Canis lupus familiaris: one gene and its partner. The protein of the gene in region 1 binds, or shares a complex with, the protein of each later gene. Links are inferred from orthologs where the notes say so. Each region holds a gene or a part of one and is shown in the gene's direction. Other genes may lie near its edges.

Region 1 (4,919 bases):
ACGAGATAACATAAGGAATCGGTTCCTTCCTTGAAACAGTCAATAGCTGAAATCTTTCTAAGTGCAGAGGATACCTAAATCCAACACTACCCAGACAAGTAACAACCTTCTGTGACCTCCTATGAAATTCCTTAAAGATTCAAAGTACAGGGCAGGGATCCCTGGGTGGCCTGGGATCGAATCCCACGTTGGGCTGCCTGCACGGAGCCTGCTTCTCCCTCTGCCTGTGTCTCTGCCCCTCTCTCTTTCTCTGTGTCTCATGAATAAATAAGTAACATCTTCAAAAAAAAAAAAAAAAAAAAGATTCAAAGTACGAAACACAAAAGTACCAACTGCTTTGCCAACATCTTTTGATTCTTCTCCTTTGAATAGGAAAATGCGACAAATCTCAACTAAAAAATGCAAGAGGCATTAACACTATGAACTTACTTCTTTGCTTTGTAGACATAAGCACATCGCTTGCCGAGATAGAACTCAGTTTCATCTCGAGCATAAACACCTTCGATCTTAAGTAGAGCTGTGTGCTCCCTCTGGTTCCGGAGACCCCGTTTATAGCCGGCAAAAATGGCCTTGGACCAAAGCCTGAGACAAAATACAGAGTGACCATAAGTCGTGCAAAGATCTGGTTTCACTGGAAGAGCTCACCTGTAACGAGCTCTACTCAAAAGTCACCTGCAGCGAACATCTAATCCCCCCTCCCCAAGTTTACAGCAAACGTTTGATTTTTTTTTTTTTACAGATGCAAAAAAAAAAAAAAAAATCATAAAGTCTGTACCTTCCAGACATAGTCGTCGCTTTAGGAGTCCTGGTCCCAGCAGGCCTTAAAACAAAAAGAACCAGTTTAAAATCTTGCAAAAGCACGTTTCCCGCCCAGTCCGCTCTCGGTAGCGCTCGGCATCTGACAGGAAGTCTCTCCGGTGGGAGACACCTCGGGCAGGACGGGCTTCGTAGTCAAGGAAACAGCTCCTGGAGACGCCGAAAGGATGCCCCGAGCGGACTCAGACCACGCCGGGTAGGAAGGGGGGGGGTGGGGGAGGAAAGAAAAGCGAGGAATCGGAGAAGCACACAAAACAGAGGCGGAAGCACTGAATGGGAAAAGCAAGGCTGAGGAAGGGGAGCTCGTAGACATAACCAGGTCTGGAGTGGGAGCGTCTTGACGGAAAAATAAAATAAAATAAAATAAAATAAAATAAGATAAAATAAAATATAAAAAGGGCTCATCCTAAGGGAGCCACTGCCTCAAAACGGGCGAACGGCCTTTATCCCTCCGCTAAGGCCCAAGCAGCAACGGCGATGACGGGAGCGCCGGTTCTCCGGGAGTCCGGGCACCAGCACCATCGGCCCCGCATCTCCGCCATCCTGGCCTCCCCGCCGCTGGAATCCACGGCGCTCGCTCGCTGACACAGCCTCCGAGCCGCACCGGCGCCCCGCCGAAGCACAGGGCTCGTCTCACCGCACTTAATCGGCCCCCAAAGTTCAGGAGCGGCGGCTCTCCTCACCTCCACAGGCTCCAAGATGGCGGAAAGAGAGAGGCGAGGCCCCGCCGCGCGCGTGGCCTTGTGGGATAAACACCTCTCCGCCCCGCCCCCCCCGGTTTAGGCGTCTAACGCAACCGCCCAAAAAAAAAAAAAAAAAGAAAAAAAAGAAAAAGCCTCAGCTGTTGTCTTTGACTGAAAGAAACGTCTACATTCGAGAGCACTCTTACAGGTCTTTCTCTGAGTGCTTTTATCTTTGAGAGTTGTAATATATGTGGTATTTGAAACAGAGGGAGGCAAGAGGATAGCCAGCTAAAGGAGGACGAGGAAAGGTCCCCGGAGCTTCGCGTTGCCATAGAAACAGCAGGGCTTGGTTCCTGCAGCCCGGTGCAGGCTGCCGCCCCGCCTCGGGGACCCCAGACTGGATTCGCTCACGTGGGAGCATCTTTCTCTCTTACTAGGAGTAGGGAGGATGGAGACTCTCGGGTCCTAGCGCGGAAGAGAAAGGGCAGGAGCACGAGGGCAGGAGGAGCTCTTCTCTTTACGCACCCCCCCACCTCACCCCTTTCCTCCTCCTCCTCTCTTTATCTCTTTGCAGAAACGTCCTCCAAGTTCCTAACCTGCAATCCTTCGTTTGGACTCCAGAGTGAGTATTGCCGCCTTTTAAAGAGCAGCTGCACGGGTAGCTGTGGGGCGCCCAAGCACCGCGCCTGCGCGAAGTGGGTCTCTAGCAAATCCTGGCAGGTGACGGGAAGATAGGCTAGTGGGCGTCTGACCGTTGCAGGTTTATTTGGGTTTCCCTCCGGGTTCATTCATTTGTTTCAGCAGTTTATTGAACGACTACTATGTACCGAGCTCTGGTCTTGGCTCGGAGGACCCTGCAGGAAACGAAACCACGGAATTCTCTGCCCTCTTGAGCTTACAGACCTGTCCTAGGAAGGGAAGTGAGACTCTAAGCAAGCACAATATATGGCACATGAGCAGGTAACATGAGAAAAATGTTCTCTATGGAGAAAAAAAGAATGAAGCCAGGATGCCACTGTAAAGAAGGCTTTAAAAATATATATATAATTTTAAAAATGAAGAAAAGAAGGCTTTTACTCTGAGATGAGAAACCAATTTGAGCAGTTCTGTATGGAGGGGAGACTCAATCTGACTTCCATTTTAATAGGGTCATTCTGTTGAGATGGAAGGGAAGCAAGAACAGCGCGGAGATCCATTAGGAGGCTCTTGCAATGATCATGATAAGATCATGGCTTGCAGACAGGGGTGATAAGTACTGGACTTCTGAATATATTTTAAATGTAACGCTGATAGGATTTGCTGATGGGTAAGGAATGGGAGAGAAGAGTAAAGGATGACCCCAAAGCTTTATGAGATATCTATAAATCATATTTAAGGTCCTCTCTTAAATACATCAGGATAGGGGATCCCTGGGTGGCTCAGCAGTTTAGCGCCTGCCTTTGGCCCAGGGCGCAATCCTGGAGTCCCGGGATCGAGTCCCACGTCAGGCTCCCGGCATGGAGCCTGCTTCTCCCTCCTCTTGTGTCTCTGCCTCTCTCTCTATATATATATCTATCATTAATAAATAAATAAATAAATAAATAAATAAATAAATAAATAAATAAATAAATAAATAAATCTTTTAAAAAAATACATCAGGATAGAGTGTAGGTACCTTACGATCCACTCCCTCTATCCAGTTTTCTCTGTCCCAGAAATATACTAAAAATCTCACTATTAAATGTACTAGAAATCCAAATGTTAAGTAGTCCTGAGAGGAATAAAACCTTAAAGGTGAGTTTCGTTCCTTTGTTCATTCATTTGTTCTACAAATACTTCTTGAGCACAGTGCTTGAAACAGGATATAACAGTGAGCATCACTATCACGTTCCTGCTTTCATGACACTTAAAAGCCTAGTGGGGGCAAAACAGTAACATTACAAATTGTGAAGAGAGCTCTGTAGGAAAATAAAAGTGCAGTGATTGACCAGAGGACTCCTGATCCAGCCTGATGAATGAGGGAAAGTGTCACCCGCAGAAATGTCCTTTAAGGCATTTTTCAAATTGCAGGTGTAGGCCCAGTAGTAGATTGTAATTATAATACTTTTTAGGCAAAATATATGATAGAATCAAAAGTATCAGAATATGGCACATGTTTTTTTTCTTTTTTTTGTTTTTTTAATTTTTATTTATTTATGATAGTCACAGAGAGAGAGAGAGAGAGGCAGGGACATAGGCAGAGGGAGAAGCAGGCTCCATGCACCGGGAGCCCGATGTGGGATTCGATCCCAGGTCTCCAGGATCGCGCCCTGGGCCAAAGGCAGGCGCCAAACCGCTGCGCCACCCAGGGATCCCAGAATATGGCACATGTTAAACGTAAATTGGTATATGAAACTTGTTTCAGTTATTTGCCTGTATGCATACTTAAGTATATGTCTGTGTGTGCACAGTGTATATAAAAATCTGTGTATATAGGTCATTGCATCAGTCAGTGTTGCCCTGGATGGAAACAATGATAGAGTTCAGAATTTCATAAAGGATCTGTGTACAAAACTGTAGGCAAGAGTGAAATTCTAAGGGATGACATAGTCTCCAGGGACGTAGGGCAGAAATAGTTACCCAAGCCCCCAAGCAAGAGCAACGTAGAGAATATTGCCTGACTGGTGCCATGGCCTTTGACAGAGAAACTTAGCCCAACCAATGATGATTTGGCAGGGAGGGAACTGGGAGGATAAACACTTGATCTCACTCTCCTACATTTATGGAACCTCCTGTTGATGTGCCCCATATGGGTCAGTCTCTTGGGGTATAAGAAATGGTGAAGATTAGATTTAGAAATGACAGATACCTAGCAAAATGCCACTGATTTAGGCTGGTACCTGATGGACCAGTGGGACTTTACAAGATGAAGAGTGAGGGGAAGAGTGGTCCAAATAGAAGGAATAACGTGTGTAAAGACCCTGAGTTGGAAGGGGGCATGATTCCATAGAAGAATTGAAAGAAGTACATTGAGACTGGAGCCATGAGAGCAATAATAGGGCAGTGCCAAGTGGATATCTGAAGAGAGGAACAGAGCAGGCCAGACCATGCAGGCCTTATGGGCCAAGTTTAGAATTTTTAGCTTTTGTCCTAGGGCAATGGGAAACCATGGAAGGATTCTAAGGAAAGACAGGATCAAATTTTTAGTTTAAAAAAAAAATGATTTTCAATTTTAAAAAGATCACCTCCAATTTGGGGGCTGTTACAGTTGTTCAAGAAACAACAGTCAGGTCCAGCATGGTGTTGGGGGACATGGAAATAGAAGATAAAATCCACAGGACTTAGTGATGGTTTGGATTGGGAAATGCTGGGGTCAAGATGAAGGAGGAATACTCCTAGATTTCTAGCATTGAGAAATGGGAAACCAGAAGAGCATGAACTTGCTGGATACTGCATTAGCAT
Region 2 (4,800 bases), on another chromosome or scaffold:
GCTCAGCCCGCAAGCTCGTCTTCCAGGGCCCTTGACCTTCTGAAAACAAAACACTTCCCCCTTTTTGGCTTCTGAACACTAGTTCCTTTTCTGGGAATTGAGTGTGTGCTTGAGGTTCCCGGGCTCAGCGCCTTGGGCTCCGTGCGTTGCCCCGCAGGTCAGCTCCGCCAGCTCCAGGCCTTGACCACAGCGGCCCAGGCCCGAGGCAGCTGCCGGCCCTGGCCAGGGGAGGACTCACTCCCCGCGTGGAACAGAAATGCAGTTCCCAGTCATTTCCACTTCTCTAATCTAAAAAGTTCTGTTGGAAAAACTCTGAAAAAAAAAAGGGGAACTTTTCTTCCAAAAGAAGGAAGTGCCCTGCCCTGATTTGCTAATTCTGAGCCTCCTCTTTGGGAGCTTGCAGGCTCTAGCGTGTCTGTTAAATGCTCAATTCTGTCTTAGATCCCCTACCTGGGTCTTCCACAAAGCCCTTAACTGATTAAGGAATTAAGTGTATCATGTGCTCCTGGCATAGAGGGGAGAAAAATCTCTCTGAACTCAAGGACTCATAAGCCAGACATCCTTGCTTTGAAATTCAATGGCCTTTATCTAAGATTGATTATGGAGTCAACATTATCGTTTACTATCAGAATTTCCTCTTATCAGTTCCTGCCTAGAAAGAGAAGAAATCTTTAAAAAAAAAGAGAGAGAGAGAGAGAGAGAGAGAGAAGAAATCTCCCAAAGGAAAATCTAGGCAAGGCTCTAAGATAACTGTCAAAACTGGGGGCACCTGGGTGGCTCAGTGGTTGAGCATCTGCCTTTGGCTCATGGTGCCAGGGGTCCTGGGGTGGAGTCCCACTTCAGGCTTCCCACAGGAAGCCTGCTTCTCTTCTCCCTCTGCCTATGTTTCTGCCTCTCTCTCTGTCTCTCATGAATAAATAAATAATTTTTAAAAATAATAATAAAAATAAATTTCACTAACTGTTCATTCTCACAGGTACCACATTTATTTATGCTATGCTATTTCATTGACTTTGGTCTTCTGGGGTACCTAACACGTTGTAGGTACACAGGGTATTTTTCCCCCTCATCATCAAATGCTAGATTTACTGGAGTAACAGGTAAGAAATTAACCCTTGGGCCTATATGAGTTCATCTGGTTCATCTACACATCTCTGGCTTCCTTTAAGCCTTCCAATTTGTATTATCTTCGGCACCACCTGGATAGAGTGTAACTGTATAATTTGTACTTTGTTTCTGCTTGCAGAAGCTGTATCTCTGGTGGCGCCTGGGTGACTCAGTCGGTTAAGCCCTGGACTCTGGATTTCAGCTCAGGTCATGATGACAGAGTCGTGAGGTCAAGCCCTGTATTGGGCTTACACTGGGTATAGAGCCTGCTTAAGATTCCCTCTCTTTGGGATCCCTGGGTGGCTCAGTGGCTTAGTGTCTGCCTTTAGCCCAGGGCATGATCCTGGGGACCCAGGATCGAGTCCCACATCAGGCTCCCTGCATGGAGCCTGCTTCTCCCTCTGCCTGTGTCACTGCCTCTCTGTGTCTCTCATGAATAAATAAATAAGTCTTTAAAAAAAAAAAAGATTCCCTCTCTTCCCTTCCCTCCTCTCAAAAAAGAAAAAAATACATACTTTTTTTTAAGATTTATTTATTTGAGAGAGAGAGAGAGAATGTGCATGGCACACACAAGTGGAGCAAGTGAATGGAGGGGCAGAGAATCTCCCGCAAACTCCATCTGCACTGAGCTCATGATCCAAGGAGGGGCTCAATCTCACCACCCTGAGATGAGGACTTGAGCCCAAATCAGGAGTCAGATGCCTAACTGTGCCACCCAGGTGCCCTATCAAAATTTTTTTTTAAAGCCACATTTCTTTAAATATACAAATAAACTCTCTCTCGCATTTGAATAAAGCAGAGGGAGTGACAGTTCTTTCCTCTATATCTCTTCAAAACTCCCAGATGGAATCCTATTCAAAGGAGGACAGAGTTCTGCTGAGATGATCTTTCTTATTTTTCACTTCTAATCTGAAGTTAATGAAAAAAAGAAGGAAAGATTGACCTTCCCCCCAACCACCACAATTTTTACTTGGCTTGTTTTCAAAGCATACTGAGGATGGGGATTGGATTGTTGATCACAATGTCATTCGCATTCTTGGGTCATTCTAGATCTGGCTCAGTTTGTATCATCACATCATGTGACATGGGGCACTTTTCTTCTTCCATTTCACCTTCACCCAAACCACATCCTCATTCTGCACCTGAAAGTCGGTTGACTGAACATATTTGAAAAGTAAATCCTCTTCTGAGGCGTGATATGTTGTTTGTATTCTGTAAACTCTGTCCTCAAAATGTCATCGCATGCATCAGCACAATGCAGAAACCAATCATTCCCTGAAAAGTGACCCCAAACAGGCTTCTAGATGAGGAGAGGACTGTGGTGGGAACCTCTCCTGCATTCCTATGCAGAGGAAAGAGTTCTGAGGGGAGAATAAATGAAACACACTTCAAGATGAGAAGAAAAGTATTCTCCAGATTTGGGAGTTGTGAACAAAGTTATCTGACCCTACATTACGGGAACTATAAGCCCCAGAAAAGGCAAGTATTCTTCTCTATACTCTGTAAAATCTCTCAAGCATCAGAGAAGTACCCAGCAGCCACCAAGGTGACAAATAAGCATAAATCAGCCCCATCTGAATCTCTCCACTCCCCAGGGAAAGGATTTTTAAAACCCAGATCGCAAAGCTATTTCTTCAGATCTGCTCCTGAGGACAGGCAATTGACCAAAAATGTTGAGGGGGACAGAGATTGAGAGAAATAACAAGAGAATCTGCAGGTTCCTTGATCCACAAAGGGAAAATCCCTGATGTTTTTTGCTGTTTTCATTCTAGCAAGTGTATGGTTCCCAGAGATCCAGGCAGCAGACAGATGAAAAAGCTCCAGAATAACTAACACAGGGCTGGAGGAGAGAGGGTTGGGGGTTGCCTAACAAGGACAAGTCACCCATCATACTCCCTTCCCCAGAACCATTTTTCCAACCACTCATGCCCCAGCAAGAGGCTAGGAAGTATCCCCTAGAGAGAGGCACTCCCAACATGGCCCAATAATTTTTTTTTATTTTTATTTATTTATGATAGTCACAGAAAGAGAGAGAGAGAGAGACGCAGAGGGAGAAGCAACCGGGAGCCCGATGTGGGATTCGATCCCGGATCTCCAGGATCACGCCCTGGGCCAAAGGCAGGCGCCAAACCGCTGCGCCACCCAGGGATCCCATGGCCCAATAATTTAAGTAGAAAAATTGAGGAGACTCCTGAGGTCAAGCAAGTCCACTAGAGGGAGCCCCGACCAACTCAATTCTACATGAAGCCTAGCAAAGGAGTTTCGCAGCACCTGACTGAAAACCAGCCACAGAAGGGAATAGAGGAAGAGAGGCAATAAATTAAGTCCCCGCAAGGGAAGATGGCCCTGTGAATTCCCAGTTAAAACCCAGCCCTTTTAGGATTTACCAAATCAAAGACTTAAAGACCAGGAAACTAAGGGGTACCTGGGTGGCTCAGTGGTTGAGTGTCTGCCTTTGGCTCAGGGCGTGATCCTGGGGTCCTGGAATCAAGTCCTGCATGGGGCTCCCCACAGGGAGCCTGCTTCTCCCTCTGCCTATGTCTCTGCCTCTCTCTGCGTGTCTCTCATGAATAAATAAATAAAATCTTTAAAATATATATAATAAAAACTAGGAAACTGAGGTTGAGCAAAATTAAACAACTGACCCAAGTTTACGTAACTGGAGGGAGGACTAGAACTCATGGCTCTTGTCTCCCACTACTACCCTTTCTTCTACATCTGCAGCCCTTTATGTCAGCACCCTGGAGTCTGTGGGTCCTCCTCTCCTCTGTGTCTCCTCTCTCCAAACTGAGAAACTCTCTCAGCTGCCTTCTCCTGCATTTCTTTCGCTCACACACTCTAGAATACCTCCCTGAGGCCTAATAATGGCACTTGCTCATGAGCCCTAGTGATGTAAATCGCCCAAGATGGCTACTGTCAGCTCTTTTCCTGTTTCAGCATTTTCCTGTGACAGCATCGTATCAGATATGGAAATCTGTAACTTCTCAGTCTCCAGACTTCAGGCAGTGCTACATGGAAATGAAGCATGGCTAACCAGCTCTGAAGCCCTTTCCCCTCCAACTACACTGAGGATTTACGGATAGGAGAGAGTGGACTCTCCAGAACCTTGCTGTCTTTTTTTTTTTTAATAATAAATTTATTTTTTATTGGTGTTCAATTTGCCAACATACAGAATAACACCCAGTGCTCATCCCGTCAAGTGCCCCCCTCAGTGCCCGTCACCCATTCACCCCCACCCCTAAGAACCTTGCTGTCTTAAGCTTTGTGCTTGGCACATACCACCCTTCTATGAGCTCCATGTTTTCCAGTTACCTGGACAACCTTCAGTCTCCAGAAACTCAACCCTGTGGTTCTCAGGCCCGCCCTCGAAGGATCTTTGTCACCCTGGATTGGTTCCCAGAACCCAGGCTCCTCCTTGGGCTCCGACGAGGTTGGGTTTTCTCTGTGCCCCTCCCTGTAAGCCGGTCACCCCGCAGGGAGACACAACAGAGGCCAGAGAGGGTCCTTCAGGTAGGAAGAAGCAGGGTAAGGATGATGGGAAGAGGAAAGGGACGAGTACTGGGAGATTGATTTTCTCCAAAAGAGGATTGAGAGGAATGGTTTCTGCCCACAGAACCTGAGGGGTAGAAAGAAATAGCTCCACCCTCCCCACACCCCAGCCTTGACTAAGGTTCCAAGGAGACCAAGAATGGA

Evidence for each region.
Region 2: IQCG (region 1) and CCDC153 share a complex: the UniProt entries of both Homo sapiens proteins name them as parts of the nexin-dynein regulatory complex. The link is inferred for Canis lupus familiaris from reciprocal best matches to the Homo sapiens genes DRC9 and DRC12.

Annotation. Positions count from the first base shown.
Region 1 is NC_049254.1:29,439,087-29,444,005, forward strand, and holds the start of IQCG (dynein regulatory complex protein 9), read left to right. Parts: upstream 1-1,637; 5' UTR 1,638-1,707; intron 1,708-1,810; exon of another isoform or gene 1,811-2,073; 5' UTR 2,074-2,121; intron 2,122-2,303; exon of another isoform or gene 2,304-2,459; intron 2,460-4,919. Other genes in the region: RPL35A (60S ribosomal protein L35a), read right to left, coding at 430-582, 776-786. UniProt on the Homo sapiens protein: Component of the nexin-dynein regulatory complex (N-DRC), a key regulator of ciliary/flagellar motility which maintains the alignment and integrity of the distal axoneme and regulates microtubule sliding in motile axonemes.
Region 2 is NC_049226.1:14,703,478-14,708,277, forward strand, and holds the start of CCDC153 (coiled-coil domain-containing protein 153), read left to right. Parts: upstream 1-1,585; 5' UTR 1,586-4,395; coding exon 4,396-4,617; intron 4,618-4,800. UniProt on the Homo sapiens protein: Component of the nexin-dynein regulatory complex (N-DRC), a key regulator of ciliary/flagellar motility which maintains the alignment and integrity of the distal axoneme and regulates microtubule sliding in motile axonemes.